Linked DNA regions of Oryctolagus cuniculus. The protein of the gene in region 7 purifies or fractionates together with the protein of the main gene of each other region. This does not show direct contact. Links are inferred from orthologs where the notes say so. Each region holds a gene or a part of one and is shown on either strand. Other genes may lie near its edges. The genes, in order: ARPC3, ARPC1B, ARPC1A, ARPC5L, ARPC2, ARPC5 and ACTR3B.

Region 1 (4,141 bases), on a different chromosome or scaffold from region 7:
GTAGGGTGGGGAGAAGCAGGGCTGGCAACAGTGATGTGCTGGGGCCGGCTGCTTCCGGCTCAAGCAAGTCAATCACTAGGGGCAGGCATTCAGTCTGGAAGTTAGGATATCCGCGGCCCACAGCACAACGCCAAGTTTGACTCCCAGCCCCTGATGCCAGCTTTCTTGCCAATGCAGACCCTGGGAGGCAGTGGTGATGGCTCAAGTGATCGGGTCGCTGCCAGCCATGTGGGAGACCAGGCCTGTGTTCCTGTGCCCAGGCGTTAGCCACAGCAAAGCCCTGGCCATCGTGGGCAGATGGGAGTGCTGTGTGTGTCTCTTTATCTCTCAAACAGAAGAAAACCAACTTAATGGTGCAAGCTGGTTATTAAACAGTCATTCCCAAACATTTAAACCCGTTTGTGGTGCAGTGGGTTAAGCTGCTGACTGCAGTGCTGGCATCCCACGTGGGCACCGGTTTGAGTCCCAGCTGCTCCACTTCCAATGCAGCTCCCTCCGATGCTCACGGAGTTCCAAGCTCCTGGCTTCGGCCATGAACCAGGGGATGGAGATCTGTTTGTCTCTGTCACTTACTCTCTTTCTGTAACTTTCCCTTTCTTTTTTTTTTTTTTTTTTGACAGGTAGAGTTATAGACAGTGAGAGAGACAGACAGAAAGGTCTTCTTTCTGTTGGTTCACTCCCCAAATGGCCACTATGGCCGGCACCACGCTGATCCGAAGCCAGGAGCCAGGTGCTTCTGGTCTCCCATGGGGTGCAGGGGCCCAAGCACTTGGTCCATCCTCCACTGCCCCCCCCCGCCCCGGGCCACAACAGAAAACTGGACTGGAAGAGGAACAACCAGGACTAGAACCTGGCGCCCATATGGGATGCCGGCGCCACAGGTGGAAGATTAATCAAGTGAGCCACGGTGCCGGCCCCCGTTACTCTTCCTTTCAAATAAATAAAAACTTTAAATTATATAACCTTACAATTATATTTATTAAAAAAACAAAGGTATATGTTCTCATCATCTCCTAATTTTCAAATTACATTTACCACTGTCTATGTTCTTAAGGCTCTATCTGTGTTACGTTTATGGTAGAAATACAAATACTGCAACACTGTGACACTGTGCATCTCTCCTGTTCCATGGTTAGTGACAGCACAGGGGTGGTGGGTGGGAGTATTTCCACACGGACATAAGCAAACACCATCTAAATCAGGGGTAGCTACCCCCAGCTGCATTTAAACCAGAACCCAAGCTCCAGCTTTTCAGATCTGCTCTCTCCTGGGTTTATGTCTTTCACCAAGACACCACTTTTTTCTCTCAGCCTGTTTCCAAATTTGCAAAATGAGACATATTCTGCCTCCTGTGGGTCAGTGAGTTAAGAGACAGAGAAAAGTCACATTTATGAGAACGGTTTGTATGCCGATTCCTGGTTCTGCTTTTTACAAGACGGCTGGCTTTCTGTAAGACAACACGGGCCCCAACCATGTGTTCACTGGTTCACCAGCCACGCGCACATGTAGCAGGGTGCTATGGCAACACACCAGAACACGGTCCTTGGGATTAAAGAATTCCCAGGCTAATGGATCCAGATAAAATGAGCAATCACAGGGTAAGTCCAGGGCGCTCTATGGGCAACTGGACTGCACACAGGGCTTCAGAGTCCACGGCCGGGGCCCTGCAGGAGCTGCTAACTTCTCTGTGACAGAAACAATGGTATCTGCCTTGCAGGGTCAGTGACGAGGGGCACACGGGAGCGTCTACACAGCGTGTGGCTCGGCTCCGCCTAGCAGTCCCCAGGAGTCAATGCTACCTATGCGATTCGTGAAACATTATCTATGACAACAGCCGGTTCTTTTCCCGGACAGGTATGCGTTATCTGGAGCAGCAACGGTCTCGATCCACCTGCTTCACGGCGTTTGTCACCACCTGAAAATACTCCTTTCACTCATGGGCACCTGAGTGCTGGCCTTGGCGGCTGCCACAGCCATCAGCTTGCAGGTATCCCACGCGCCGCAGGGCCACCGTGCTCCTACCCCGCAACCGGGGGCCCACACACAACCGCACGGCCTGTTTCCACCCCCACTCTGATGCTTCCATCTGGAAACCAGCTGCGGACCCTGGGTCGGCTCCGAGGGCCCCAGGCCCCCTGGCCCCGGCGGGGGTGGCAGGGAGGAGTGGAGGAAGCGGGGTCAGGCGGGGTCGGGCGGGGACACGCCCCCTGCGGCGGAGGAGGAAGTGGGCTTGACTGGGTGCGGGGGCGAAGGAGAAGCTGGACCCTGAAACATGAAAAGCACAGCCCTGGGTTCGGGGCTCGAAAAAGCCTCTGGGTACCCTGCCCGCGTCCGGGAGCGGAGGGGCGAGGGGGCGCCGCCACCGGGGACTACCGGGCAGGACGCGCCGCGGCGGCTTCCTCCCGCGTCGGGGCCGTGGCCCACTCCTGCCCCGCAGTCGACCCCGGCGGACAGCAGCCCCAGGCCCCCCAGACCTCAGGGACCAACCCCTCCCTTCGCCAGCCGCCCGCTTCCGGCCTGCCCTGCCAGGCACGCATCTCCCGTCGCACGCACGACTTCCCGCTGTCTCCCGCACACTCTGGGCTCACACTTACCGGCATCTTGGCAGCCCCGGGGTTTCAACCGAGAGGTGCAGGTCCGGGTTAGAGCGCGGCGCTTCCGGTGTGGGAACCAGGGCGCGGTAGGCGGAAGTGAGCCGGAAGGGGCGGGCAAAGGCAGAACAAGGAACTTCCGGCCTCCCAATCCCTCCGCAGGTGGCCGTGGCTGCGCGCTCCTGAAGAGGCGCTAGAGGGCGCCCGAGCACTAGGCAGCGGATCTGCGTGTCGCGCATGCGTGGATCTTGGTAACAGAATTTGATAGTCGCATCCTTTGTTTTTCCTTAAAGCTCATCTTTCCAGTGGAGCATTCCCTGATCACACTCCACCTCCCGGCCTCTCTCGCTTTTCCCTTAGTTCTTAGGATCCCCTTACTTTTGGTACAGAAAGGGAGGGTTTTTTGCTCGGCTCACTGCTGTATCCCCTGCGCCTACAGTCAGGGTATGCAGCAAGCCTCCAAGGACTGTGTCTCCAAGGACTGTGTCGAGCGAATGAATGAAGCCAAATCACGGCTTTTTTTTTTTTTTTTACAGGCAGAGTGGACACTGAGACAGAGAGAAAGGTCTTCCTTTGCCGTTGGTTCACCCTCCAATGGCTGCTACAGTCGGCGCACCGCGCTGATCCGATGGCAGGAGCCAGGTACTTCTCCTGGTCTCCCATGGGGTGCAGGGCCCAAGCACTTGGGCCATCCTCCACTGCACTCCCGGGCCACAGTAGAGAGCTGGCCTGGAAGAGGTGCAACCGGGACAGAATCCGGCGCCACGACCGGGACTAGAACCCGGTGTGCCGGTGCCGCATGGTGGAGGATTAGCCTAGTGAGCCGCGGCGCGGGCCAAAATCATGGCTTTTACAAATGGGGGACCCGGACACAGGAGAGAAGGGATTTGCATGTCACTCTGCACTGCGATTCTTCGCGCAGCGGCTGAAGAAGTGGACAGTGGGTTTTGGTCCTGTTTCCAACATCTGCGATCTGTGCGATTTCCACTTGCAAACGGAGGCAGCAGTACTTACCGTGTAAGCTCTGGGAGGATGCAAGGAGCCGAAAGCGCTGAGTGTACAAGCCGGGAGCGTACGGACAGCTCGGGTTTGTCTCACCCATTCATGGGAAAAGCCCATTTCTCCTGCCAGTGTCCCACACTGAAGAACCCTGCCCCGCGGCCCGACGTGATTTCTCCACTGAGGAGAGGCCAAGCACCCCTTAGTCACTCTCCATTTCACTCGGTTTTCTTCCTGTCCCTCAGCACAAGTTTCATTGTTCCTGGTCTCACCCACCAGGCCATCAGCCCTGAGCCGCCTCTTTCTACCCCCGGGGCCTGGCACCCACAAACCGCTGTACGTTTGTGCGAAGTCACATCAGGCTCACCGGGAGGCGGTGAAACCCCAGGACTGAACTGTCGGGTTCATCTTCGCAGCTCAGTGGGCAGAGGGTGAGGCAGCGGAATGTGGCCCTTCCCAGCGTGCCCACAGCACATACCAGATTCTAGAAGCTAAACGAAGGGCGTGCAGCCCGAGGGCAGTCAAAATGCGCCTCTTTTCTTCTTCTTCTC
Region 2 (4,317 bases), on a different chromosome or scaffold from region 7:
CATGGGAGGGGACTCTGACCGCTTGTGGGGTTTCCCTGGACACCTGACTCAGATGAACTGAAGGTGGTCTTGGGAGGGAGGACCGACGGTGTCCCCCTCCCCTGCCACTGACAGTCACTATCAGGGGCTCCTCGGATACCTGAATCTCTGGAGGACCAGCAGTGCCCCCTCTGCCCCCACCAACAGTTACCGGGGGGACTCCTCTGATCTCGGAGACGGGCACCCACAGCTCCCATGCGAGGATGGACACACGTCCCTCTTATGGCCACGGAGACGCAAGGGAGATTGTGCCAAGCAGCCTTCCCGCCTGGCTTCCTGCTGCTTGGGCCAGCGCCCTGCCCTGCTTGCCTGCCGGCAACCTGGCCATCGTCGTCCCGTGACCAGGAGGAGGCCGCCCGGCTGCAGCTCAGCCAGCCCTGAAACCTGAGCAAGGGGGCGGGGCGTCTCCACCGCAGCCATCCCGCGGAAGCCGGTTCCAGGAAGCAGCAGCTCTCTCTCCGGTCCCCAGGCTCCGCTAACCTGGGGGAGGGGGGTGCTGAGGGGATGCGGCCCAGGGCTCCCCAGTGTGAGGTCCGTGTCCCGTCCCCAGGCCCCTCGGCCTCACCTTAGGGACGTGGAAATGGGCACGGCTGCAGTGGCAGGACCAGGATCGACTGCCCAGTCGCTCATCCCCGCACACTCCCGCATGCCAGGCGCCAGACACCCTGAGGTCCATGTTCCTAAGTAGGAGGTGGGCTTTTGAGGATGGGCAGCAGAGGAAAAACAAACAGCCCTCAAGCCAGCTTTAAAGCAAAGCAGGTCACCCGGGAAGCGGACCTGAGCCTGGGCTGCGGGCTGGGCTCAGGCTGACCTGTTTTCTGTGGGATTCCCGCAGCCGGGGGCCGGGCTTGGATGGGGTCGTCCCAGGTCCCAGGTCCCAGGTCCCAGGTCCAGGAAGGAGGCGGGGGACAACGTGGGATGAGCAGCCCTTGTTTGAACAAACCTGCGGGAGCAGCGAGCTGGGGGCCCCGGCTAAGGACCCCCGCTCCGCGCCGGGAGCAATGGCCCTCCTGGAAAGCCCGGGCGCCCCCACGCGCTCGGACACGGCGAGTCCTCCCAGCCCCGCGGACGCGTGGAACGCAGCGTGCCCGGGGCTGAGTGGCCCGAGGGGCACGGCCACACCCTGCAGCGCGGAGCCCTGCCGCCCCGCTGACCGGGGGCTGGAGCGGCCCGAGCCGGCGCCGGGGAGCGCGGTCCCCCCGCCCCTGGGCCTCCCCCGCCTTGCCCCGGGAGGGCGGCACCGGCGCCGTCTACACCCGCGAAGGGGCGGCGCCCGCGGCCGGGGACCGAGTCTGTGGGGGTCCTCCTGCCCTGGCAGGTGGGGGCAGTCGCCCCTCGCCCCCAGCCTCAGTTTCCCCTTCCGGAGCTGCGCCGGGCGCGCCGGGCGCCGACGTCCGCCCCTCTACCCCGAGGGCTGGGCGGGCCCTCGCCTCCCGCGACCGCCGTCGCCCCGGGTCCCCGCCCCCGGCCCTGGGGCTCGGCCCCGAGGCCCCGCCCCCCGCCCACGAGGAAGTGGCTGCGGCGCGGCGCGGGGCGCAGAGCCGGCTCGGCGCGTCGACTGCCCAGAGTCCGCGGCCGCGGCGCCCCGAGGTGAGGGGCTCGGGCTGGGGCGGGGGCGCGGGGGCCGCCCGCAGGTGGGGCGCGCGGGGGCGGAGGGGGCCCGGAGGTGCGGGGCGCGGGCGGCGGTGGGCGAGGGGCGCGCTGAGCCGGCTGTGCGCCCCGGGAGCGCTCGGGGGGGGGGGGCTCCGGCCCGCGTGCGCCGCCCCGCCGCGCGCCCCCTCCGGCCCGGCCTCGCCGCCGCCGCGGTGGCCCCGTTACTTGGGGCCGGCGGGCCCCCTGCCCAGTCACTTCCCCCGAGCCTTCCGGGTTGCGGCGGCCGGGAAATGAGCTGGCGCCCACGCCCAGCCGCACCCGCCCCGCCCGCGGGGTCCCAGGCTGCGGGGTCCCAGGCTGCGCCGCTCTGAGCTGCGGGGCGCCCGGAGCCGTGCGGCGCCTCCCTTGCTGGAGGGGCGCACCCGGGGGCAGTGGCCGCGGAAGCCACGGCTCCCGGAAGTCAGGCGCACCCGTGGCTTTTTAAGTCTCAGAGACACTGGGTAAAAATGTCCGCTTTACGGACCGCTGACCTAGGCTTGGCGAGCCTCAACATGCCCCATCTGGAAAATGGGCACCTTACGAGGTCTCATAAGACAGCTGGCGACGGGCCGGGCACAGGCGGACAACAAATGGGTGCTATTGTGGCCGGTGTAAAGCCGGCCCAGGGTGGCCAGTGAGTCTGCCCAGGTGGCCCTGACCTCCTGACCGCTGGGGTTTGGAGCTGGCGCCCTCAGCTGTGCCATTCCCAAGCTGCGGTCTCAGTCTGTTTCCTCCTGTGGCTAAGCAGAGGGAGAACGGGTCGGGCTAGCCCGGGGCTGTGTACCGCTGGCCGGGCTGGGGAGGGCAGTGGGCTTGGTCGTGTGGCCAGGGGTCTGTTCCGAGAGTTGCGCTCCTCGCCCGGTCACATCACAGCGCACCGTGGCCTTGTCCCCCGTGACGCTCAGGGTGACCCCGTGTGCAGAAGGCCGCGCCCGAGTGGGTGCGGGTGAGCGGGGTGCTGCCCGTGTCCAGCGATGCTTTCTGTACAGCCGCGCCAGCACTGGGTGTTCCGTGTGTCTTAGCTCTGGGTGGGTGACGCGCGCTGGTGCGTTACGGTGTCTTGTGACTGTTGTGTGACCGTCCCGTGTCCCTGGACTCTGCCTTCGCTTGTAAGGATTCTAGAGCCGAGGAGGGGAGGAGCCCCCGGGGGGCTGCTGCACGGAGTTGAGCAACCGCCTAGCGCGGAGCGCAGTGGCTCTGAGCACTCCGCTGGGCGGGGACTTCCCGGAGCGCCTGCTTGGTTTGGCCTGGGATGCAGCCTAGAGTCTCTGGGCTGAGCGCAAAGCCAGGCGAGGAGGGGCTGCCCGCGGGGGCCCTGGCCGGCCACCCCTTCCCCCGTCATTTCTGGAGAAGCTCCCCTCGCCGGGGGGGGGGGGGGTTGCCCCACCAGGAATACCCCACCAGCCCCTGCCCTGTGAGCTAAGCTGTGTCCCCCCATTCTGGCACTCCTGGACGGAAGCCCTGGCCCCACCCTGCAGACCCAAGCCCGCCCGCCCCGGCCCCTGCTGCGGAGAGCTCTGGCCTCCCTGCTCCGCCCCCACGCCATCCCTGGGTCCCTTGCTGGGCGTGGGCTGCGTGGGCTGCGCTCCTGGGAGTGCGGGATGGTGAGGCTCTGCGGGAGCCAGTGGGGGAGTGTGTCAGGGACTGGGCCCCTGGCCCTGCCCCCCGCTGGTTGCACTTGGCCTCTGGGGGCTGGGGTGGGCACAGCCTTGAAAGAGCCCCCCCCCTCTAGTTCAGCAGCCAAGGAGGCCATGGTGATGTGTGGCTGGGAGTCCTGGGGGCCACGGCCACCACCAGCCTTTGCCTCCCACGGCGCCACGGCTGAGTGCTGATGCCGTGGGCACAGCCCCAGCTGCATTCTTGCAGTAGGGGGCTGGCAGCGGGCGGGCCTGCCCCACCCGGCCCCTGTGCCGTGTCCTAGGCTTAGGGGACTTCTTGAGAAGGAGTGAGTCGTGGGCAGAGTGGCGGGGCTTGGGGGCTGCTTCCCAGGTCTGTCTGGAGCCCCCGCTCAGCCCTCTGACTCCCACTTCCTCCTTAGTCCAAGCTGCAGCCGGGGCGTCATCGCTGAGCCCCCGCGGGAGCCACCCACATGGGGAAGTGGACCGTTCCTCTCTGCCACCCCCTTGTCTCTGCCCTGCCCATTTAAGGGGTGGGTTCTGTTTCAGTTCCTGCCGCAGTGTGATTGGCACATAGGCTCCCCCTGAACCTCCTGCCCCCACTGAGAACCTGTGTGTGCCAGGAATTGGGGGACAGTGCTCCCCAAGTCCTCTCGGCTGCATCCCCCACGGGGACCTGCGGCTGTGCTCCGTCCTCACGGCCTGGGGCACACGGCGTGTGTGAGAGCCGAGGCCCTGACACTGGGATCTGCCCCCCGAGTCTGGGCTCCACCAGCCCCCCAGTTCCTGCTTCCTGGGCTGTGGTTGCGGGCTGGGGTGGGATGGGGGAGGGTTAGCCTCCTCCGGGCCCTGGCCGGATGTCACAGTGTTGCAGGTGGGCTTCCGGCCTTGGCCTGCTTCTGCCCGGGGTGGTGACCTTGGCAGTGGGGGTGGGGCGGGCGAGCATGGTCACCCCTCCCCTGTGCCCTGTCCCCTTTGTGAGCAGCCATTGCCCGGCCCAGGGTACCCAGCAGCCTGCTGGGCTGGCCAA
Region 3 (2,623 bases), on a different chromosome or scaffold from region 7:
GAGGAAGGGAGGCTTCCCGGAAGCCACCAAGAGGGCAAAGTGAGCCGCTTCCGAGAGCAGGCAGCCCGCCCGCGCGCCGGCCCCGCCGCCCTGGTCACCCGTGCAGGGAGGCGGCGGCAGGGCCGCGCTCACGAGCGCCCGGTGCATGTCCTTCGCTCTTCATGTATGCTGTGCCTCTTAAGACTCGGCCTTGGGGGCCACACACGAGAGCTGAGGACGACGAGCCCGGTCAGTCTGGGCCCCACAACCTCTGAACCCCTCGGCGGCTCCTCCCTCCCACTCGCACACTCCAGAGCCCCATGCCGGCCGGGCGCTCTGGGCCACGGGCTGCCCTGTTACTCAGACGCCACGGGCACGGCCCCCGGGGACCTCCCCTCCCGGTCCATGGTTCTCTGGTCACAGGCTGTCTAGGACGGGCAGTTTAAGAGGCTGACATCTAAGACTTCAGCCTATAAATGAACATTCACTCTGATGAAGAACCTCACCCTGTTCACCAGATTTTCCTACTAAAAATGCAAACAAAAACCGAACACATTGAGGATTTTTATTTACTTTTCTAGTGGACAATTTACATACCCCCCTCACCCTTTCCTTTAAGTTAGTGGACAATCTTCCATAATAAACTACTTAAAGAGAAGCTTTGGTCAAGAATGGAATGAAATCGCAAAAAAAAAAAAAAAAAAAAAAAAGAAAGAAAGAAAGAAAGAAAAAAAAACACTGCTGCTTTAAAAAACCGACACTTTCACCAATTACAGTCAGACACTCGCGGGGTCTGCGCGCTGTGTCTCCTCGGGGCTGGCTTTCCTCACCATCATGCTAATGGCAGAGCCGCAGCGGTCATGCTGGATGGCGGAGGCTCGCGCAGCTTCACATTATCCGGAGGCCCTGGATGGACGACTCCAAGGTCTGCAGAGAGGCAGGAAGGGGCCGGTCACTCCCCGCGGCTGAGCCCCTCCCCGCCTCCGCCCTGCAGAGCCGCGCCAGCGGGGCTCTCCCTTGGCCTTCCCAGCCCATAGGGCCGGCCTAGCTCCCCGTCCTGTGTCACTGGCCTTTGTGGACGAGGGCCCCTGGCTGCATGCCCTGCCTCTTCACCACACTAAATGCCCGAACGGCAGCCAGCTGGGTACAGCCCGCACGTGCATTAAGGGGAGAAATGCTCCATGGCTCCTGGCCCACATGGGTCAGAGGGAACAGGCGAGCTGGTTGGGGGCTGGGTGCCAACTGCCCAGGTGGTGCCAACCGCCCAGGAGCGGAGGAAGGGGAGGAGGTGCTGCCCGCTCTTCGTCTGAAGGCTCCGAGCCTGGGCTAGACGGGGATGGGGTCCATCACCGTGGAAGGCGCAGCCAGTGGTAAAACTGTGTCGGTGTGCATCTGTTTCGGAGGTTCACGACCGGAAGGAGTTAAATCCCGAGCCAACCTTTCTCTTGCCCTGGCTCTTCCTCCTGGTTCCCTCTTTCGCCCACCAGGTGCAGTCCCAGTGAGAAAGGGCGGAGTCCAGATTTGCCCCTGACTGTCACTGGGCCCTCCTCTTGGGCCCTCTAGAACCTCCCGGCCGCGGCCCTGTGCCGGAGCGCCCGTCCTCAGCGCTGCAGTCCGGGGCCCTCGCCTGCGGCCTGCTCTTCCTCCTGGGGTTCCGAGGAGTCGCAGCCCTCTGCACACACGGCCTCGCCTGGCTCCTCCCTCCAGCTCCTGTGCCTCCATAGGGCCCAGGCCAGGGCGGTGCCGGGAGCGCCCTGTATGCTCTGAGCCTGCTCACATCAGTTTACTCTCCAAGTCCCGCCCTCCCGACACCTCCCTCCAGCAGAAACAGGGGTGCCGGCCTCTGCGGAGCTCTGACTCTTCCCTCCACCGCTCCCTGACCTGACAAGACCCTCAGGGGCTCCTCCTTCTCCATCTTGACAATGTTGGACAACATTTCAAGAACTAAGAAACATTATTCTATAGGAAGAGTCTGAACACAAACAGATTCGTTCCGAAAGGCAGAAATACCTTGAAATCCCAAATTGTCATGGCTCCATCGATGCCAGTTGTGCAAAATTTGCGACAGTCTTGCTTGTCCACCTCATAAATAGACACTTGACTGAAAGGAAAGCAAAGCAAATGAGATTGCCGGCACGTGGTGGAAGTGAGCCTGGCCTTCCTCACCGTGTACGGGCAATGTAAGGGAATGGGCTGCTTTTAACTCCTGGATATGCTCTTTAAAGGTTTACACATCCAAAAGGCTGAGAAGGAAAGCACACACACACACACACACACACACACACACAAGTCAGCTTGGCCATGTCAAAGCCAGGAGCCAGGAACTCCATCCGGGTCCCCCAAATGGGTGGCAGTGCTTGGGCCACTCTCCACTGTTACCAGGAAGCCGGATCCAAAGCAGAGCAGCCAGGCCTGAACCAGCGCTCTGATAGGAGATGCCGCGTTGCACGCTGCAGCTTAACCCACACCACAACCCTGGCCCAGTTCACTCCTAAATATTCACTTGCCCATCAGTATGAGGCTGTGGAAATCTAACTCCGAAAAGACCCAAACCATCTTACTACCAGGTGAGAGTCCAGATGAGAGTGGCTGGGCGAGGCCGGGAGATCTGGCCCCCAGGACAGGTGAACGCTGGCAAGCAGGC
Region 4 (4,305 bases), on a different chromosome or scaffold from region 7:
CTTTGCCAATACCCAGCATGCAAAAGAAAATGACAATCTGGGTTAAGTCCCCAAAGGCGACACCTATTTTAAACCGAGTTACATCATGTGAAACACTGGCTTCAGCCACAAGCTTCAGAAATAGCACCAGGCCCGACCAGGTGTCTGCTGCGCCGTGCGGCGAGGCCCCCTGAGAACGGAGCCCCCAGACAGGGCTGGGCCTCCTGCGCCCCGCTGCCTTCAGACTGGGCGGCGACCCAGCCCCTGCACTTCAGCTCTGCAGTCCCCCCCCAGCCTAACCAGGGTCCCTAGGCCAGCAGCGCTGATGAGCTCTGCCCCTCTTCTCTAACCTGGGGTCCCGGGCTGACAGGAACACAGGCCCGCATGCTTTTCACTGAAGCCTGCCCTCCTGGCAAACCCAATCGTCCGGAGACGGTAGGCAAAGGCCGGTCGGGGGAGAGGGGTGGGCGGGGGCCTGTTAGCACCCTCAGTGGCACCAGGCTGTCGAGGGAAGGCCTGCAGCAGCCGGGAGCAGCAGGGAGGGCGCCCCTGGGAAGCTGGTGTCTGCACCCCGCAGGCTTGAGGCCCTCTCAGAGAACCAAACCACTGCTCTCAACAGGCGGCCCAGGAAGAAAGGGAACTGATACTCCGCGGACCCGCCAGGGGCTTTCGCACGGCGGCTCATCCCGGGGAAAACCCCTCCCAGCAAGGCTATTCTGGTTTCAAAGGCCATGAAGCTGCTGGAGGGTGGCGAGGTCCAGCCGTCCAGCTCGCCTCCAGACCCAAGCGCTTCCCACAATCCCTCGCTGCCGCTCAGGTCCAGGTCGTGTGCTGAGCACCCAGCAGGCTGCCTTCCATGAACAGGCGGCAGCAGAGGCTGGCAGGTGTGTGCCTGTGCGAGGTCACACAGCCGCAGCGGCGCGGAACTGGTCTGTGTGCACGCACAGCCGTGGTCCTCCACCTCTCCTGGGCGCCTCCCACCATCACATTTCCTGTACAGCCCTAGGACGGGCAGCCCCTTCCCCCCAGTCAAGTAACCTCTCCCTCTGCAACCCTCCCCTCTGCCCCAGCGCTGTGGCACAGCAGGTGAGGCCACTGCGTGCTCCAGCTCTCTGCTGTGCCTGGGAAAGCAGAAGAAGATGGCCCGAGTGCTTGGGCCCCTGCTCCCACGTGGGAGACCCAGCTGAAGCTCCTGGCTCCTGGCTCCGGACCAGGCCAGCTCTGGCCATTGCAGCCATTTGGGAGTGAACCAGCGGAAAAAAAAACATCTACTGCCTTCAAATGAATGAATGAATACTTACAAAGAAAGAAAGAAACTCTACAGCTTACATCCAGCTATCTAAAGTCCAATACTTGGTACAGGGTAGGACTCAATAAACATTAGCTCTTTCCTCCCGCCAGCTGGGCCCCAGGATTTCAGTCCTCACTCGCTCACCTCCCGCTCCCTGACCCCTGACCCCAGAGGCACACCCTCCAGGAGCAGCGGACCCTAGGCCTCCAAGCAGCCCGAGGAACCCAAACCAGGCAGGGGCCGAGCGAGAGGCGCCCTTCAGCAAGTCCCTGCACAGCAAGGTCGGCGTCAGCTGCCCAGGCCTTGGGCTCGCGCGCTGCGGCCGGCGGCCCCGCCGCCAGCAGGCCCTCCCGGGGGCCCCTCCCCGGCCCCACTGCCCCAGCAGGGTGAGCCAGGCAGGAAATACAGGTTGGAGCCTCCACCTTTGGAACCCATTCTAGTTCAAACAGAGGGCTGGAGCGCAGAACTCCTCCCGAAGGCAGTGGGGCCTCCAAGCTGAGTCAACTGACTCAACGCGGGGCATCTGACCTCCACCCGGCGGCGGCAGCCTCCAGCCCCGGCCCGGCAGGGGCGGGGGAGGGGCACGCACTTCCTCTGCCACCGTCTGCACAGGCAAATCCCGCCCGCCCCAGCGAGCCGGTTTCCCGTGCTCGGACTGCGGCGGGCCCAGGCAGGCTGCGCCAATCACCTCTATTTTTAATCTTCCCTAGCCGCCTGCTTTCTGCGGCCACGGACAGCCTTGTCCAGCCCTGGGCCTCCTTGCACCTCGCATGCGCCGTGCGCTGCTTCTCAGCTCGACACCAGCCGCTCTTGCCCCTGCGGACCGGCAAATTCCCTCGGGAAGCGCGGCCGGGAGCGTGCAGGTGCAGGGCCCAAGGCGCTCCGAGGAAATGGGAACGGGTGCGCAAGGCTGGCGTGCAGAGGGGCCGGCCGACTCGGGAGCAGGAGCGCACGGCCTCGGACCCCAGGCCGCCCCGGGCTGCAGCCCTCATTCCCCGCTGGGTCTGCCCAGCCTCCCCGCCCTCCGCCGCCTACTCACAAGGTGTGCGGGCAACCGGGGAGGCCCAGGCCCCGACGGCCCCTGCAGCCGCCCGATCTCCCGCAAGAGCCGGAGGGAGCGATGGGGGGCGAGGGGCCTGGGCCCGAGGCGCGGTCGCCGTAGCTTTGGGGCCGCCGAGAGCTGTGCCCCAAGGCCCAGGGCTGAGCTGCTGCGGTGCGGCCCGGCGCAGAGGGGAGCCGGGTCGGAAGGGAGACAGACTGACCGGCCGGGACCGACAGGAAGGGCAGCGGGAGCCCGAGCCCGGCATGAGGGAACTGGAGCGGCCGCACCAGAGAGGAGCCCAGGCCGCAGCGCGCGCGGAGGCCGGACCGCCCCGCCGGGGAAGGATATTGCCGCAGGAGCCCGTCCACCTCGCTAGGGTCCGGGCCTGGCTCTCCCGCCGCCGCCGCCGCCTCCTCCTGCTCGTCCACGAATTTGTTCTCGTCGAACTCGTCGATATCCACCCGGCGGAAGCGCGAAGACAGGGTGTTCCGGGCCATGGTGGGAGCTCGGCGTCGCTCAGCCGGCTCCGCTCCCGGACCGACCTCGGCTCCGCTCCGCTCGGCACCGGCTCCGGCTCGGGGGTGGGAAGCGGCCGCCGGGCACCGCCTCCACCTCCTCCGCGCGCAGCCGCCGGCCCGCCCACTTCCGGTCTGCGCCGGAACCGGAAGTGCGCAAAGGAGGGCGCGGCCTAGGGGAGTGGAGGCGTGCCGGCGCGGCGGTGTCACGGATGGTCTCCTCGTGCCTCGTCGGCTCTGTCTGCACGTCTCGGGGTGTGGATGCCTCGTGCCCGCGCAGGCTTAACGCCGTGTGCGCCATAGCTGCGCTCGCTCTCTGGTTCTTCTCTCTCCGAGGAGCTCCTTCCCAGGGAAGGGCGCCGCGGAGTCCAGGGGTCATCACTCCCCGGACGGAGCGCGCGCGGCTCTGCTGGGAGGGGGCCTCGAACGCACTGCACTGAGCCAGAGCAGGTGACCCCGTTATGAAGCAGAGCGCGTCCAGGGGTTGACGACTCTGGAGCCCTTTTGATTTGAGGGTGCGGCGACTTCGTGCCGCCAGGAGGAGATGGCCCTGGGGCTACCGTCGTTGGCCGGAGGGCCGGGACGTGGGCCCTGCGCGCCGGGAGCGGCATTCCCAGAGTCTGAGCTGGGGGGCTGGGCGGCAGGGCAGCGGCAGGGTCGGGTTCCAGCCTGGGCTGCTGCCGGAGAGATTCTGTTAACTGACTTCAGCCTTAGGCTAAAGTTCGTGTTTCACATATGATTTGTTGAATACTTCTCATTCAACTGTGTCTGCAGATAAAAATGCTGCCGGGGCCGCTGGTGTTGGGCCTAGCCGGCAGGAAGCCTGCATCCCATATTGGAGTCATCCCTTATTGGAGCCTGAGTCCCGGCTCTGCCCCCACTTTCAGCTTCCGGCTGTGTGCACCCTGGGAGGCAGCCGGCCCCTGCCACCCACCTGGGAGCCCCGAGTGAGTTCCTGGCTGCAGGCTTGGGCCTTGCTGGCGTGTGGGGAGTGAACCGGGGCATGTCCTCTCTTTTTTCTCGTCCGTGGCAGGCAAAGCCCTCTTGCATTTCAACTCTATACTTGGGAAGTTTTCTGACTCAGGAAGGCCGCGTGACAGCAGAAGTTTGTATCCGCAGACTATCCTGATAAGGGACTTGAGGGGCCGGCGTGGTGTAGTGGGGGAAGCCGACATCCCACACGGGCACTGGTTCATGTCCTGGCTGCTCCACTTCCGATCCAGCTGCCTGCTACCGTCCCTGGGAAAACAGCAGGGATGGCCCAAATGCTTAGGCCCTGCACACACACTGAAGCCCCTGGTTGTGGCGTGGCCCAGCCCTGGCTGTTGCAGCCATTTGGGGAGTGAACCAGCAGATGGAAGATCTGTCTCCCTCTCTGTAACTCTGCCTTTCAAATAAATAAATTTATTTATTTGAAAGGCAGAGTTACAGAGGGAGAGAGAGAGGTCTTCCATCCGATGGTTCACTCTCCAAATGGC
Region 5 (4,052 bases), on a different chromosome or scaffold from region 7:
TAGAGACCAGCATTGTGGTATAGTGAGAAGAGGGTAAAGCCACAGTTTGAGACACCAGTATCCCATACGGGCACTGGTTCAAGTCCCATCTGCTCCGCTGTCCATCCAGCTCCCTGCTAATGTTCCTGGGGAAAAAGCAGAAGATGGCCCAAGTCCTTGGACCCCTGCACCCTCGTGGGAGACCCAGATGAAGCTCCTGGCACCTGGCTTCAGCCTGGCCCAGCCCTCGCTGTTGTGGCCATTTGGGGAGTGAACAAGCAGATGGAAAATCTCTCTCTCTCAAACTGTCTTTCAAATTAATAAACAAATCTGTAAAAAGAAATCTATTTTTAAAAGCTGTCTACCCCTTGACGATAAAGGCTGGATCTTTGCTCATTTTTTGGATCCAGTCCCGTCCCTACCCCACCCCACTCACCCCACCCCGCACCAGCACATAACTGAAAAAAACCATTGATGTAGAAGGGACTCAACTAAGCTTGTTACACTTCCTCTGGAGGAGGACAAATGCAAATCAAGGCACACAGGCAGAAGGTGCAGACGTGGTGTAAGGATCAGTTCAGATTCCGCAGGCAGATGAGTAGGAGCTATGTCTCCCGCGGGGGCACTGAAAGGTGAGGGTTGGAGGCAGAGAAAATTATGTTCTGCGCATCCAGGGGCAGCCCCTGGCACGGAAATGGAGGCAGCACAGGGGTCCAGGGAGGCCCATCTGAACTGCCTGTTAACCGAGGTGACTATGCATCCCTTTCCTTCGGTGCCTTTAAACAACATAACTGATCATTTGTTCATTGTGTTTCCTTTACCACAGTATAAGCTCCACGAGGGCAGGACCCTGTCTACCGTGTTCACTTCCGCATTCGCGGCTCAGGACAAGAGCCCACCATCTGTTGGGGAAATGAACGCACGATGGTGCGACGGACTGCCACCCGTCTGGAATGAGGAGGAGCCTCCACGACGCACAGGCCGACAGCAAAGAATCCTGCCGCGAGATAAGAGCGAGCTTCTTGCAGGACCCCTGACATGACAGAACCGGAAGAGTGGATTTGGAACTCTGGGACAAGCGGGAGGCAAGTTCCGGGAAGGACCGCTCGGTGGCTCGCGGAGACTTGATGGGGCGGGGGTGGGGCGCTTCAGTGGGAAAGTAAAGCGGTAGGAGGCCTTGCGCATGCGCAAGTGTGACCGCCTCGCCCCACCCCGGGCGCGCCTGCGTGCGCGTGCACGAGGGAGCCGGAGCGGAAATGGCGCCGCGGGGCCGCGCGTCCGGGCGGCGAGCGGAAGTGGGTGTGAGAGCGGAAGTGGCCGGCTAGAGCCGGGGGCTGGGCGGGGACCGGGCTTGTCGGTGAGGCGGCAGCGGTGGCGGCGGCGGCTCGGCAGGCGGGTTGAGGCTTCTGGGGCCAGGTCTGTCGGGTGGGTGGGTGTCTCCACAGTCCGTGCGTGCGCGGGCCGGCGCGCGTCCTCCCCTTCTCTCCACCCCGGCCCCTCTCCCCTCTCCCCTTCTCCCGTCACCTACCCCACCCAGCCCCCCTTCTCAGGGGGCACAGGGCCGCTCCCTGCGTCCTTTCCTCCTTTACCCACCCTGACCCGCCCTTGTTTCTCCTTCCCCTGTCCGGGGCAGCCGCCGCCATGATCCTGCTGGAGGTGAACAACCGCATCATCGAGGAGACGCTCGCTCTCAAGTTCGAGAACGCGGCCGCCGGGTGAGCGCGCGCCCCGGGGCTGGGGTTTGGGGCGGCGTGGAAGGCAGAGTTGACCCCCGCTAGTCCCCGGTGCTGTCCAGCTTCCCCCCCGGGCCTGGCGGAGGGAGTTGGGAGGCCTGGCAGTGTGTAGGGGCTGCCCCGGCGGAGAGACGTGGGAGGCGATTGGGCGCGGCGGGTGAGGGGCAGGGATGCGTGGGGTGAGGCTCGGAGGAGGGATGCGGAAGCTGCGAGTGGACCGGAGTGTGCGTGCCGAGGGCCAGGGGACCTGTGGGACGTGAGGGCAGCTCGGGCCGGAACTGGAGCCCGAGGAGCCCACTGCCCTCCGTGTCCCCGTCATTGTTCTGAACCCGGAGAGAGCCGGTTTGCGACTGGGCTGGAAGGAGTTTTCAGGAATTCCCAGGACTGGAGGAGGGAAGAAGATGCAAGCCTAGATCGCCACCGGCGTTCTCCATCCCGCCCCCACCCCTAAAGGGAGCCCGAGGGGGGACGGAAAGCAGACCCAGCCTTGCAGCCATCTCCCTAGCTTCCCTTCCCGAACCCTCCTGCGAGCGACAGGGGCCGTTCTGTTACACATGTCTCAAGCACAGCTAATAGTCCTGCACCCACACCCTTTCCTTATCTCTTCCAAGAGTGTCGGGCTCTCTCTGCAGCCTGCACCCCGCACACCCCGCAGCCTTTATCTGCCTGTTGGCCTTTTAAATTCTCATACAAGACCCCTGGGCTGTGATTTCTTCTGTGGCAATCCTTGGCCGGTTACACACTTCACTGCTTCCAGAATCTATGAAGTTCTTAGATAACCTCTTTTTTACCGTTGTCTGTGAAAGACGGGCTTTGATTTCCAAGGCAGCCTTCACTGTCAGAGAGCAGAATCAGTGGAAGACGATCAGCCGCCTCCCCCAGAGCACCTTTAAAACATGAGCCAAGGACTTGAATTCTAGCTTCGAATTTTTGGTGGCCTGTGGTCAGTCCCTTTGCCTCATTTCCGCATCCGGGACGATGGGGCTTCACATCTTGGTTGCACAGTTGAGGAAATAAGTACAAACTCTTTTTGGTGAACTGGGAACCAGTAATAGGAAAGTAAATGCTTGGAGAGCCACAGATGGGACAGGATTGGTGGAAGGGAAATTTAAGTGGTCATAATGAACTTGTGACTTGGGAGGTTTTTTGTTTGTTTGTTTTTTGTTTTTTTTTTTGTTTGTTTTTTGAGTACTGGCTCACTGCTTAAATTGAATGGATTGTGGTTCCCATCTCTTTTTTGTAAGAACACGAACTACTTTCCTTGGAAGCAGTGCATACAGTGAGCTGAACGGTTTCCTGCCAGGGCCTGCCTGCAGTTGCTGATATTTCAGGTTAACTCAGTTCTTACTCTCAGCCCCTCTTACCAGTTCTTTGCATTTTAAATACTCAAGTGACTCAGTCCGGGATCTCATTTTGGGTGATTGCTCTGTGCTTTTTCTGAGCAGTGCACTGCACATAGGAGGAAGTTGACTTCACTTCTGCATTTTCACAACTGATCTCAATGCATTCTCAAGTCCAGACTGGCCAGGAATGAGACCTGGGTGGTTATGAGCTGATCTGCAAGATAAATGGCTGTGTGTCTGCAAGTAGAAACATGCCTTTTAGTGTAAGAGTACTTTCACATCTATTTGTGTATTAATAACCTGTGATTCCAAAATGTGTGGCCCATTCAGAACTTCAGTTCTTTCTTATAATTATTTTCAAAATAGCAGTTAATCATTTCAGAGGGATTAAAATGGCCCTCAATTTGGAAGGCATAGATTAGAGCTTGCAGGACTTTTTTAATAGACAGACATTGGTGGTGAGGTTGTATGGGGGCAAGGGTTGGGGTTGGCTTTTATTCCAGCCCATCTCCCCTTTGAGATCTGGCTTTCAATACAAGAGCCCAGACCATTCTGTGGAAAGTTTCGTTGAATCTTTTGAAAAGAGGCCGAGATACTCTGTGATACTCATGCCTAGGAGGTCGGGCATTCCTGGGGTTGCAAGTACAACGCCAGCAGAACACGGTGCAGCAGAGTGTGTTCCCAGGCACCCGTAAGAGGAGGCAGCAACGAAGCTGTGTTTGTCAGGGTGCTGCCCACGAGCTCAGCCCAGGGTGGCGGGGGCGACCATCATGAACACATGGGATTCTACCAGCGCTCAGCACCAGGCAGCAACTGATGCGGCGGGAGGTCTTTCTAAGAGAGCACATTAGCAACAGAGCTAAGAGGTGCAGACATTAAAGAAAGGTAATAGCTTGGAGGAGAGCCGTGGGGGATTTAAAAGGCTTTGCCATTGTGGGAACCTGCTGAAAGAGGTCTGTTCCACCTGTTTTTTATGCTTCTCAGAAGAAACCAGTTG
Region 6 (4,368 bases), on a different chromosome or scaffold from region 7:
CCTCCTCCCCTGTCACACACAGCACATCTAAGGTCACCTCCCCTGTCACACACAGCACATCTAAGGTCACCTCCTCCCGTCACACACAGGGACTCCTAAGGAGCGCCCGCCTCCCCTGTCACACAAAGCGGCCCCTGGGGCCGCCTCGCGTCCGGGTTCTTACAGGACGTTTCTCCCGCCTACTGCTCCCTGCAGCTCGGCCCGTGCAGCTGCCCCACTCACACAGCCATCTTCATCAGCTACAAGCTGCCGCCCCCAGGCCGTGATGAAACCACCCACACGAAAGCAGAAGGTGTCGAAACGGAAATTTCAGTAATGCTCCCGGCAACTTCTAAACCCAAAGCAACGCTTCCCCTTAAAAAAACCGTCGCCTCGACAATTCACATGCATCTACCTGTTCCTGCCAACTTTCATTTAATTAGGGAGACTCCTGAGGCTCTGAGTAGCCACCGCCCTGGGGGTGATGCGCTGGACTTGGTTCTAACCACTAAGCACCCGAGAGACCGGTTCTTATTTAGTGAAACACGGCTGCAGGGGACGGAAGACGCAAAGGGACACGGCTGCAGCCAGCAATTCACTCTGGAGTCCATTCCAAGGATCAGCCACGAGAATGTGCTCAGCTGGGAACTTCACCAGGGAAGAGCCACTCCATCCAGGTATGTGACAAGAGGAGACTAGGTGCGTAGGTTCTGCAGCGCAGAGCTGGTCAACGCTACAGAAACAAACCTGCTGCTAAGGAAAACACTCACGTCCATCGCTACACAGAGGAGCGAAGCTATAAAGCTTCTCCTCGAAAAAACACTCACAGAAAAATCCTATGAACATAGGGTAGCCCCAGAAGGTAGTCACTTTTACCACTGCCTGGCTTCTGCTGAATATTCATATAACTAAGCAAGAGAGAGACGGAGAGAGGGGCACAGAGAGAAGTCCCATCTGCTGGCACTGGGGTGGGACAAAGCCAGGCGCTGTGGCCATCAGCGGCCTCCTAGGGTGACCGTCAGCAGGAGCCAGGGCCTGGACGTTGACAGCTAAGTGCCGCGCCTGGCCTATGGAACCTGTTCGTTTTTGTGCCAGTTTTTTGTCTCAAAGCCTTTGCCTAGATCCAGCCCGAGGGCCCTCTGAACGCCACAGGAATGGTTCCCCCCCCCCACGCAGAACTTCCCGCGTCCAGAACACGCGTTCTCCGAAGTCGGCCAGGGTGCTGTTTTCTTAAATCTTCTTTTTCTTTTTTTAAAAAGGTCTATTTGTTTGAAAGGCAGGGAGAGAGGGAGAGAGATCTTCCACCCGCTGGCTCCCTCCCCGAATGGCGGCAAGAGCCGCAGCTGGACCCATCTGAAGCCGGAGCTTCTCCCTGGTCTCCCGTGTGGGAGCAGGGGCCCAAGCCCTGGGGCCACCCTCTGCGCTGGGCCCTCAGCAGGGGGCTGGACGGAAGTGGAGCAGCGGGCTGCTGGGCTGGCCGCCGTTTCCAGCCCCATCAAAGCGCGCCCTGAGCCCTCCTGTGTCGGACGGTCCCCAGCTGGCCGGCCGGTTGTGTGGCCGGGTGGGTGGCACTCACCTTCACCGCCTGGCTCCTGGTGTTGATGGGAGGGTTCTTCAGCGCCGCCTGCAGGGCGGCTGTCATGTTCCCTGTGCTGGCGGTTAAGGGGCAACAGCGGGGGCAGCCGGGGGCAGCCGAGGGCAGCGGCCAGCCCCTGGGACCGGTGCTTCTCGGGACTCAGAAACGCCCTCGGGGTGCCGACCAAAGGTAACAGCGCACTGGGGGGCTATTTTTGGTTCGCACCATCAGAGATCGCCTGGTAACGCTGCCCTCACGGGACACCTTCGGCAGACTGCAGAGGTGCCGAGACCCGAAACGCACGTCAGGATCCCACGCCCTCAGGTCTCCGGGAAGCCGCCATCTCCCGCGGCGCTACGTGGGCGCACAAAGACACACCTCGGCCTCGCTGCGCGGCGACGCCCCGGCTCTCGGGTGGACGGTGGACGGCTCCATTTCCTGGAGGCCACACCTAGCAGTCCGCGAAGGCGCCAGGGAGCAGGGAGCAGGCAAGGAAGCGGGCCAATCAGGCCGGCGGCAGGCACAGCCATTCCCCTAAAAGGAGAAGCCCCGGCCGCCGCCCCTCCCTCGCCATCGCTGCAGCCGGCCTCTGGCTTCCGGGGCCCACCCAGCGGGCCCACGGCGCCGCGGGGTCCAGGCTGCACAGCCCCAGGCCCTCACACGGCCGCCACGGCAGGACGCGGGCCCGAGCGGTCCCCACGCACCGCCGCGGGGCGCGGACAGCCCGAGCACGCGGGCGCCGCGGCGGCTCCTGCCAGCGCCCCCGTGTCCCCCACGGATCCGGTGCAAACGCGGACCCGGTCACAGCTGCTCAGACACGCCCAGGGCAGCAGGCACCGCCGGACAGCGGCTTCCCGCGAACGCCCGGCCCGCACTCCCGGGGCTCCACGCACTCCCGGGGCTCCACCTACTCCCGGGGCTCCGCGCACTCCCAGAGACTCCACGCACTCCCGGGGGCTCGGCGTCCGCCTGCCGGCTCCGCGCACTCCCGGGGCTCCACGCACACCCACGCACACCCCCGCCGCAAGGATATTGCCGCAGGCACGAGTCCACCTCGCCCTCGTCCGGCCCCGCCTGGCCGTCGCCGCCGTCTTCCTCGTCCACGAACTTGTTCTCGTCGTACTCATCCACGTCCACCTTCCGGAACCGCGCCGACGACACCGTGTTCTTCGACATCGCCGCCGCCCGCCGCCCTCGAGCCTCCGCGGCGCCCCCCCGACCGCTGCGAGCCGCCGCTGCCGACTCACTTCCCGCTTCCGCCCCGGGGCGTGGCCGGCCGCGCGGCTCGGGGGCTCCGCGCATGCGCGAGGCCGGCGCCCGCCCCCTCGGCGCGCAGGCGCGACTCTCCGCCGCGGGGCGGGGCGCGGCGGGCGGTGGCGAGACGCGATTGGGCGCTCGCGCGCGTCACGTGACGCGGGTTCCCTTAGAAACGCGGGCCTGCGGTCCAGCCTAACGGGTCTCAGGTGGGCGGCGGCGGGGTAGCCGGGGCTTTCCAGTCAGCTGTCTCCGCGGCCCCGCGTGAGGGCCGGGCGCGCTGCGGCCCTCTTGTCGGCAGGACCGAGGGGCGGAGGGATGCGTGTCCGGGCGCCCGCATCCTCCCGCGCCTCCCGGACGCCGCCGGGGCCGCTCCCCGGGCTGCAGTCGCCGCGCGGCCCGCGGGGTCCCCGGACTGAGCCGCACGCGCGGCCGCCCCGCGAGCGGACCCCGACCCACTCGGCCTCCGTCGGTCGGCGGCGGGGCAGGGGCCGGGCTGGGCGGCAGAGCCGGGGGTGAGCCTGCGGGGCTCGCGGTGCGGGCGTTCGGGGCGGGGGCGCGTGGGCTCCCGGCGCTGAGGGGACCCGGCCCCGCCACTCGTGTTTTTGGGGCGCGTTTCGGGACCTCGGAGGGCGGAGCGCGCCCTGCGTGTGCGCCTCCCGTCTCGCGGCCGGGCCCTCCCACTCATTACCCGATGCCTCCTGGAGCAGACGCGCCACGCGTGTGGAAAACGCGTGTTACCCGTGACGCCGGCCTCGCGCCCCCCCCCCCCCCACGCGGAGCCCGCACGCAGAAGGTGCCCAGCGCGTGCGTGGTGCGGCGGGCAGCGCGGGGAGAGAGAGGGGCGCAGAGGCCGGGGGAGACCTACGCGGGTACTCTCGGCCCCTCGCAGAGCTCCTGGGCAGCGGTGCGGGGCAGTAGCCTGAGATCCACGCCTAGCCAGAGTCCCGCACACAGCTCACGGAGGCTGCGTGTGACAGGAGACCCGCGCGTGGGCTTCAAAGCCTCCTTGCAGTAAAATCAGTGTTTTCCTATTCCCACGGACTTGGCCAAGTTCTGCGCGCAAGAAAGCTGGGGAATGGGAGGGGGGTGGCGTTTGAGTGAGGAGTCGGCCAGCTGGCCTTTTCCCCCCAGGGCTGTCACCGGCTACCCAGGTGACACAGTGGGCACTGCGGGCCACCTGCTGGCCTTGTTGCTGCGGCGACTGGCGTTATGTAAGAACGGTGTATTTTGGTGTTTCCTGCTGACTTTAGCGCAGGCATAGGCAGTGCTTCTTCAGATGCCCAAGCTGACTGTACTTTTTTCTTTTTCATCAAGATTTTCCGCAAGAGGAAACTGAACCTGGGAGGCGCTGCCGGGTGGAAATGGCAGGGAAGATGGCGGAGCCGGGGCCTCCCGCGTCCTGCGCGCCTGTCCCTCCAGGGGGTCTCGCTTAGGTAATCCTTGGAGACTGGGGCCGTGTTGGGTGCACGTCGGCCTGAGGAGCAGCCGGGGGGATGTAGGGCGGCCTCTGGAATTGTTTGCCGATCGTGGGCTCAGCACTGCGCTCTGGAATGGGT
Region 7 (4,302 bases):
GTGAAACTAGAAAAGCACAATCATTTTTTGTTCTCTTTCAGTTTTCAATATATTTGAAAGTACTTCAAAATAAATTTTAAAATGCAAAAGTCTTCATTAAAGAAGTACAGTTAAGAGAAGTGATGCTGGACTTGTGGGAAACTGAAAACTATGCCGCCTAGTCATTCCTTTAAATAGATGAACCTTTATTTTTGGATATATCACATCCCTTTTTCTGTATTATACCGGCCCCCGGCACTCGGGCTTTCACCCAGCTGGTCGGTTTATCAGAAACTTGAGGTTACCAGGATGAAACACTGTTTAATACACTGTTATTCAGTACACTGTTATCATTACTTAGGACACTGTTTAATACACTGTTATTCAGTACCCTGTTATCATTACTTAGAACACTGTTTAGCACAAAACATTCTAATAGACATTGTTCAGAGCACTATCCACTAAATCATTAGTGCCCACTATGTATCATTCAATGTCAAATTTTTCTTTTAGCATTTAGTACTAAAAAAACCTTTTCAAATGAGAAACAGGTACTTCTCTTCCTTCCTGATGACGGGAATTACATAACAATGGTTCTTTTGTGATATTATCAGATAGAAAAACCCATGCCAGATGATGACCAACTACAGCAACCAATGGTCTACAGTCTGGGGTGATTTCCCAGGCCCATTCTTTCCCTTGGTTTTGGTTATTTTTATCTGCCATTGCACTGCTTTTTGTCCTATTTTGAGGCAAAAGTCAATCCAAAACCCAATTTAGCTGTCGGGGAAATGTAAGAACTACTAATACATTAAAGTAGGTAACGTTAGGGGCATCCAGGCTGCTCCTGGCCACACAATAGACATGGGCTATTCATGCCTGCTAACTGCAGCAGTTTCCATGACAGAATTATGTCCATGGGAAACCCACTGGGAAGACTCCCTAACACAGTTTCTAGGTCTCAACACCAAAGCCTACAACAACTGAAGCATGTGTCACAAAACAAAGATCTATTGAGGCCCAATGTCCCAGTGAGCAGTTACATTTATCACCTACCTCAAAAGATCTAAACTGAGCACATTTCAGATATTTATAGCAAGAATGAGTAAGGCCCCCAGCTTACTAACGTCAAAGGTATGACAAACTCTGTGAGCATTATTTGACTGCTACAAAACAAGAAATGCTTCGTTATTTCAATAGCTTTTGCCAGACCAAAAATACAAAAGCAAAAGCCTCACATGCAAATGTGACATTGGAAAATACTTCTACATGTTGCCTTCACCCATAACACAGCCAGGCCAGAGGGGCGCAGGGTGAACAATGAAACTGGAGGGAGGAGAAGAGTTAGGTCCTCAACAACTGGAGGGAGAACTGTAACATAATACTGATTCTGGCTTGTGTTTTGAGTATTAAAGCAATTTCTAAAAACTAAAAAGCCAAAAAACTTCTAGTACAATATTTCAAAAAGAAAAACTGGCACAAACAAAAAGGCCACAATTTTTCCCTGGCCCGGAACCACCACTGGTGGCTTGAGCAGCAAAGGCAAAGAACTATCAGTAGGAGATGGACTGTAGCAAATTAAAGACGACACCCCCACAAGGTTGTCAGGGAAACCAAACCAAGTGCATCTTTCTACACAACAGAATCAAGGGTAGGGAGACTGAGCCATGAAATATTCTGTGGCAAAACGATTAAACTCTCTTCTCAAAAAAAAAAAAAAAAAAAAAAAATCTTTCAGAGGCTACATTTATGTCCGGGCTATTAAGTACTAAACCCACAATGCAAGCAAGCAAGCTTGTATTCCCAAACTATCAGCAATCATCTCGCTGAAAATCAGCGACTGGAAATACAAGACATTCCCTGAAGTCCGTTCTAAATAGCTTGACACCCCAAGAAGCCATCACATCCCTAAAAGACCAACCTATACCACAAACAGGTTTTCCCAAATCTACACTGCTTTTCCAAAATGGAGTCTTTTCAAACATCTTGTGTAAACAAAAAGGCAAGTCTCCGCAAAACTAAAAGCAAGACGTTATACTGAGTGTGCCCTTTCACCCTGGAAAAGAGCAGAGTGGGCATTACACAGGCTGTCGGAGTTGGCAGATCAATGTAAATATCTCCACAAGTAGGCGGCAAAAAGCATGGGCCAGGAGAAATGACACGCGCCTGAGGGCACAGAACCAAGGCCAGCAAACATCAGAGGGCAGGGGCAACGTTAGCCGGCAGGTAAGTGACGTTAAAAAAAAACACACCCGCAGTGATGGGTGCCCCAGAGGCACTCCAGCAAGGTGAGATGCGGCTGACCTCGGATTCCCGACAGGGTGTCCATCCCGGAGGCCGGCGCGGGGCTGCGCGCCCAGGGCACCCTCCCGCCGGGCCACGTGAGAAGGGGACAGGCCAGGAGAAGTGGGCACACGGACTGGACACTACGTCCCTCCCCCTCAGTCACCTTCTTCTCGTGGCCCTTCCCAAAAGGGACATCACAGCATCAGGGCTAAGCCTGATGGGAGCGGCGGGGGCCGCGCGGAGACCCCGGAGGCAGTGACCCCACTGTCAGTGCCCAGTCATGGGTCCCTGAGTTCCGGAGCGGCGAGCGCAACTCGACCACCAGGTGAGGGCAAGGTGCCCGGGGCCGGGAGCGGGTCCGCGGAGGAGCGGGGGTAGACGCCGAGCGGGTCTTACCCGGTGCCACAGTCCACCACGCAGGGAGGCAGGGAGCCCGCCATGGTCTGGACGCGCGGCGCTCAGGCGCCGGCCGCACCGCTGCCAGCTCACCTGCGTGCCGCCTCTCCAGCGAGCCTCCGCAGCGCCGCCGCCGGGAGCCCGGATGCTCCGTGGCCGCCACGTGACGCCACCCCCGGACTAGCCAATCGGAACGCGCGAGCCCCGCCCCCTTCACTCGCCATCTTTGGTGCTGGCAGCGAAGCTTTTAAGCCCATACGTCCAACCTTCAGGCTGGAGAGGCTGGGGGTTATTTTTAACTGACCTGCGGTTAACGTGACCCTGTTTCCAAGGCATGACTCCTTGCTCATCCTTTAAGTCTCAGCTAAATTGTCACCTTCTCAGGGAAGTTGTCCCCGATCACCCAAACTAGGTCCCCTCCCCACACTTTAGTCTCTGTCTCTACCATCTCATTCTTGGAAGCAAATTTTTTTAATATTTATTTATTTGTAATCTATCTTTCCACTGGCCAGTAGGCTGTGCTGGGAAAGGGTTCCAGTCTGACTATTGTTGATGGATGCATAACACAGTATTGAGTGCAAACATGGAAAACACCCAAGTGAATGAGTGAATAATTTTCACCATATAGAGAAAAAATATTACAATTATCATATCTGGCAGAGCACTGCACAATTTATTCTAAGAAGAAAAATCTGGAAGACAAATGCATGGCTAACCTTAAGGAATGAATGACCTCAGACTGAGATAATACCGTACCTTTAGTATTACTGGAAACTACTTTCAAGTATCAAAGACAAGATCATTATCCAAAACTTCTTAGGGAAATCAGAGACTGAAGAAGGCAAAACCTACCCACCATGCTATAAAGGTACCAAATGTCCCACTGCTGCCAACTTCTTGTCCTATTATAAATTCTTAGCATTAATTTTTAGGGAGTTTTCTAGAAAGACACGTGTTTCATAACTTTTTTTTCTCTAGGAAAACAGTAGATGTGTTGATAATTCCAGTTTAACCATTATCATTTTTTTTCTTACATGTTTGAGTTAAATAAAGCCCAGATGTAAAAAATGTTCAGGAGAAGAGAAGAGAAGAGGAGTGGAGAAGAGGGGAAGGCAGGAGAGAGGAGGGGAGAGAGAAGGAGGAGAGGGGAGGGGAGAAGAAAAGAATAAGGGTGGCACTGTGGTGTAGAGGGTAAAGCCACCACCTGTGATACCAGCATCCCATTTGGACACCAGTTGGGGTCCTGACTGCTCCACTCCAATCCAGCTCCCTGCTAATGCTCCTGGGAAAGCAGTGGAAGATGACCCAAGTCCTTGGGCCCTTACATCCACGTGGGAGACCTAGAAGCTCCTGGCACCTAGATTTGGTCTGGCCAGCCCTGGCCATTGCAGCCATTTGGGAAGTGAACCATTGGATAGAAAATTTCTCTGTCTCTCCCTCTCCCTATAACTCTGCCTTTCAAATAAATAAATAAATCTTTATATTAAAAAAAGAAGAAGAAGGGCCGATGCTGTGGCGTAGCAGGTAAAGCCGTTGCCTGCAGTGCCGGCATCCCACATGGCCACCGGTTCGAGTCCCAGCCACTCCACTTCCAATCCAGCTCTCTGCTATGGCCTGGGAAAGCAGTAGAAGATGGCCCAA

What was found.
Region 1: the proteins of ACTR3B (region 7) and ARPC3 purify together in Homo sapiens (affinity purification with mass spectrometry; 6 studies listed by BioGRID and IntAct, counting the BioPlex papers as one, with this or other methods). This does not show direct contact. The link is inferred for Oryctolagus cuniculus from reciprocal best matches to the Homo sapiens genes ACTR3B and ARPC3.
Region 2: the proteins of ACTR3B (region 7) and ARPC1B purify together in Homo sapiens (affinity purification with mass spectrometry; 5 studies listed by BioGRID and IntAct, counting the BioPlex papers as one, with this or other methods). This does not show direct contact. The link is inferred for Oryctolagus cuniculus from reciprocal best matches to the Homo sapiens genes ACTR3B and ARPC1B.
Region 3: the proteins of ACTR3B (region 7) and ARPC1A purify together in Homo sapiens (affinity purification with mass spectrometry; 5 studies listed by BioGRID and IntAct, counting the BioPlex papers as one, with this or other methods). This does not show direct contact. The link is inferred for Oryctolagus cuniculus from reciprocal best matches to the Homo sapiens genes ACTR3B and ARPC1A.
Region 4: the proteins of ACTR3B (region 7) and ARPC5L purify together in Homo sapiens (affinity purification with mass spectrometry; 3 studies listed by BioGRID and IntAct, counting the BioPlex papers as one, with this or other methods). This does not show direct contact. The link is inferred for Oryctolagus cuniculus from reciprocal best matches to the Homo sapiens genes ACTR3B and ARPC5L.
Region 5: the proteins of ACTR3B (region 7) and ARPC2 purify together in Homo sapiens (affinity purification with mass spectrometry; 6 studies listed by BioGRID and IntAct, counting the BioPlex papers as one, with this or other methods). This does not show direct contact. The link is inferred for Oryctolagus cuniculus from reciprocal best matches to the Homo sapiens genes ACTR3B and ARPC2.
Region 6: the proteins of ACTR3B (region 7) and ARPC5 purify together in Homo sapiens (affinity purification with mass spectrometry; 5 studies listed by BioGRID and IntAct, counting the BioPlex papers as one, with this or other methods). This does not show direct contact. The link is inferred for Oryctolagus cuniculus from reciprocal best matches to the Homo sapiens genes ACTR3B and ARPC5.

The regions. Positions count from the first base shown.
Region 1 is NC_091452.1:8,116,158-8,120,298, forward strand, and holds the start of ARPC3 (actin-related protein 2/3 complex subunit 3), read right to left. Parts: upstream 2,811-4,141; 5' UTR 2,601-2,810; coding exon 2,595-2,600; intron 1-2,594. UniProt on the Homo sapiens protein: Component of the Arp2/3 complex, a multiprotein complex that mediates actin polymerization upon stimulation by nucleation-promoting factor (NPF).
Region 2 is NC_091450.1:41,604,652-41,608,968, forward strand, and holds the start of ARPC1B (actin-related protein 2/3 complex subunit 1B), read left to right. Parts: upstream 1-1,496; 5' UTR 1,497-1,629; intron 1,630-4,317. UniProt on the Homo sapiens protein: Component of the Arp2/3 complex, a multiprotein complex that mediates actin polymerization upon stimulation by nucleation-promoting factor (NPF).
Region 3 is NC_091450.1:41,600,042-41,602,664, reverse strand, and holds the end of ARPC1A (actin-related protein 2/3 complex subunit 1A), read right to left. Parts: intron 2,081-2,623; coding exon 1,990-2,080; intron 909-1,989; exon of another isoform or gene 907-908; coding exon 868-906; 3' UTR 531-867; downstream 1-530. UniProt on the Homo sapiens protein: Probably functions as a component of the Arp2/3 complex which is involved in regulation of actin polymerization and together with an activating nucleation-promoting factor (NPF) mediates the formation of branched actin networks.
Region 4 is NC_091432.1:228,720,550-228,724,854, reverse strand, and holds the start of ARPC5L (actin-related protein 2/3 complex subunit 5-like protein), read right to left. Parts: upstream 2,810-4,305; coding exon 2,661-2,809; intron 1-2,660. UniProt on the Homo sapiens protein: May function as component of the Arp2/3 complex which is involved in regulation of actin polymerization and together with an activating nucleation-promoting factor (NPF) mediates the formation of branched actin networks.
Region 5 is NC_091434.1:21,132,571-21,136,622, reverse strand, and holds the start of ARPC2 (actin-related protein 2/3 complex subunit 2), read left to right. Parts: upstream 1-1,212; 5' UTR 1,213-1,395; intron 1,396-1,612; 5' UTR 1,613-1,620; coding exon 1,621-1,694; intron 1,695-1,701; exon of another isoform or gene 1,702-3,043; intron 3,044-3,157; exon of another isoform or gene 3,158-3,940; intron 3,941-4,052. UniProt on the Homo sapiens protein: Actin-binding component of the Arp2/3 complex, a multiprotein complex that mediates actin polymerization upon stimulation by nucleation-promoting factor (NPF).
Region 6 is NC_091444.1:1,522,917-1,527,284, forward strand, and holds the start of ARPC5 (actin-related protein 2/3 complex subunit 5), read right to left. Parts: upstream 2,833-4,368; 5' UTR 2,732-2,832; coding exon 2,589-2,731; intron 1,638-2,588; coding exon 1,556-1,637; intron 1-1,555. UniProt on the Homo sapiens protein: Component of the Arp2/3 complex, a multiprotein complex that mediates actin polymerization upon stimulation by nucleation-promoting factor (NPF).
Region 7 is NC_091438.1:21,155,793-21,160,094, forward strand, and holds the start of ACTR3B (actin-related protein 3B), read right to left. Parts: upstream 2,820-4,302; 5' UTR 2,706-2,819; coding exon 2,662-2,705; intron 1-2,661. UniProt on the Homo sapiens protein: Plays a role in the organization of the actin cytoskeleton.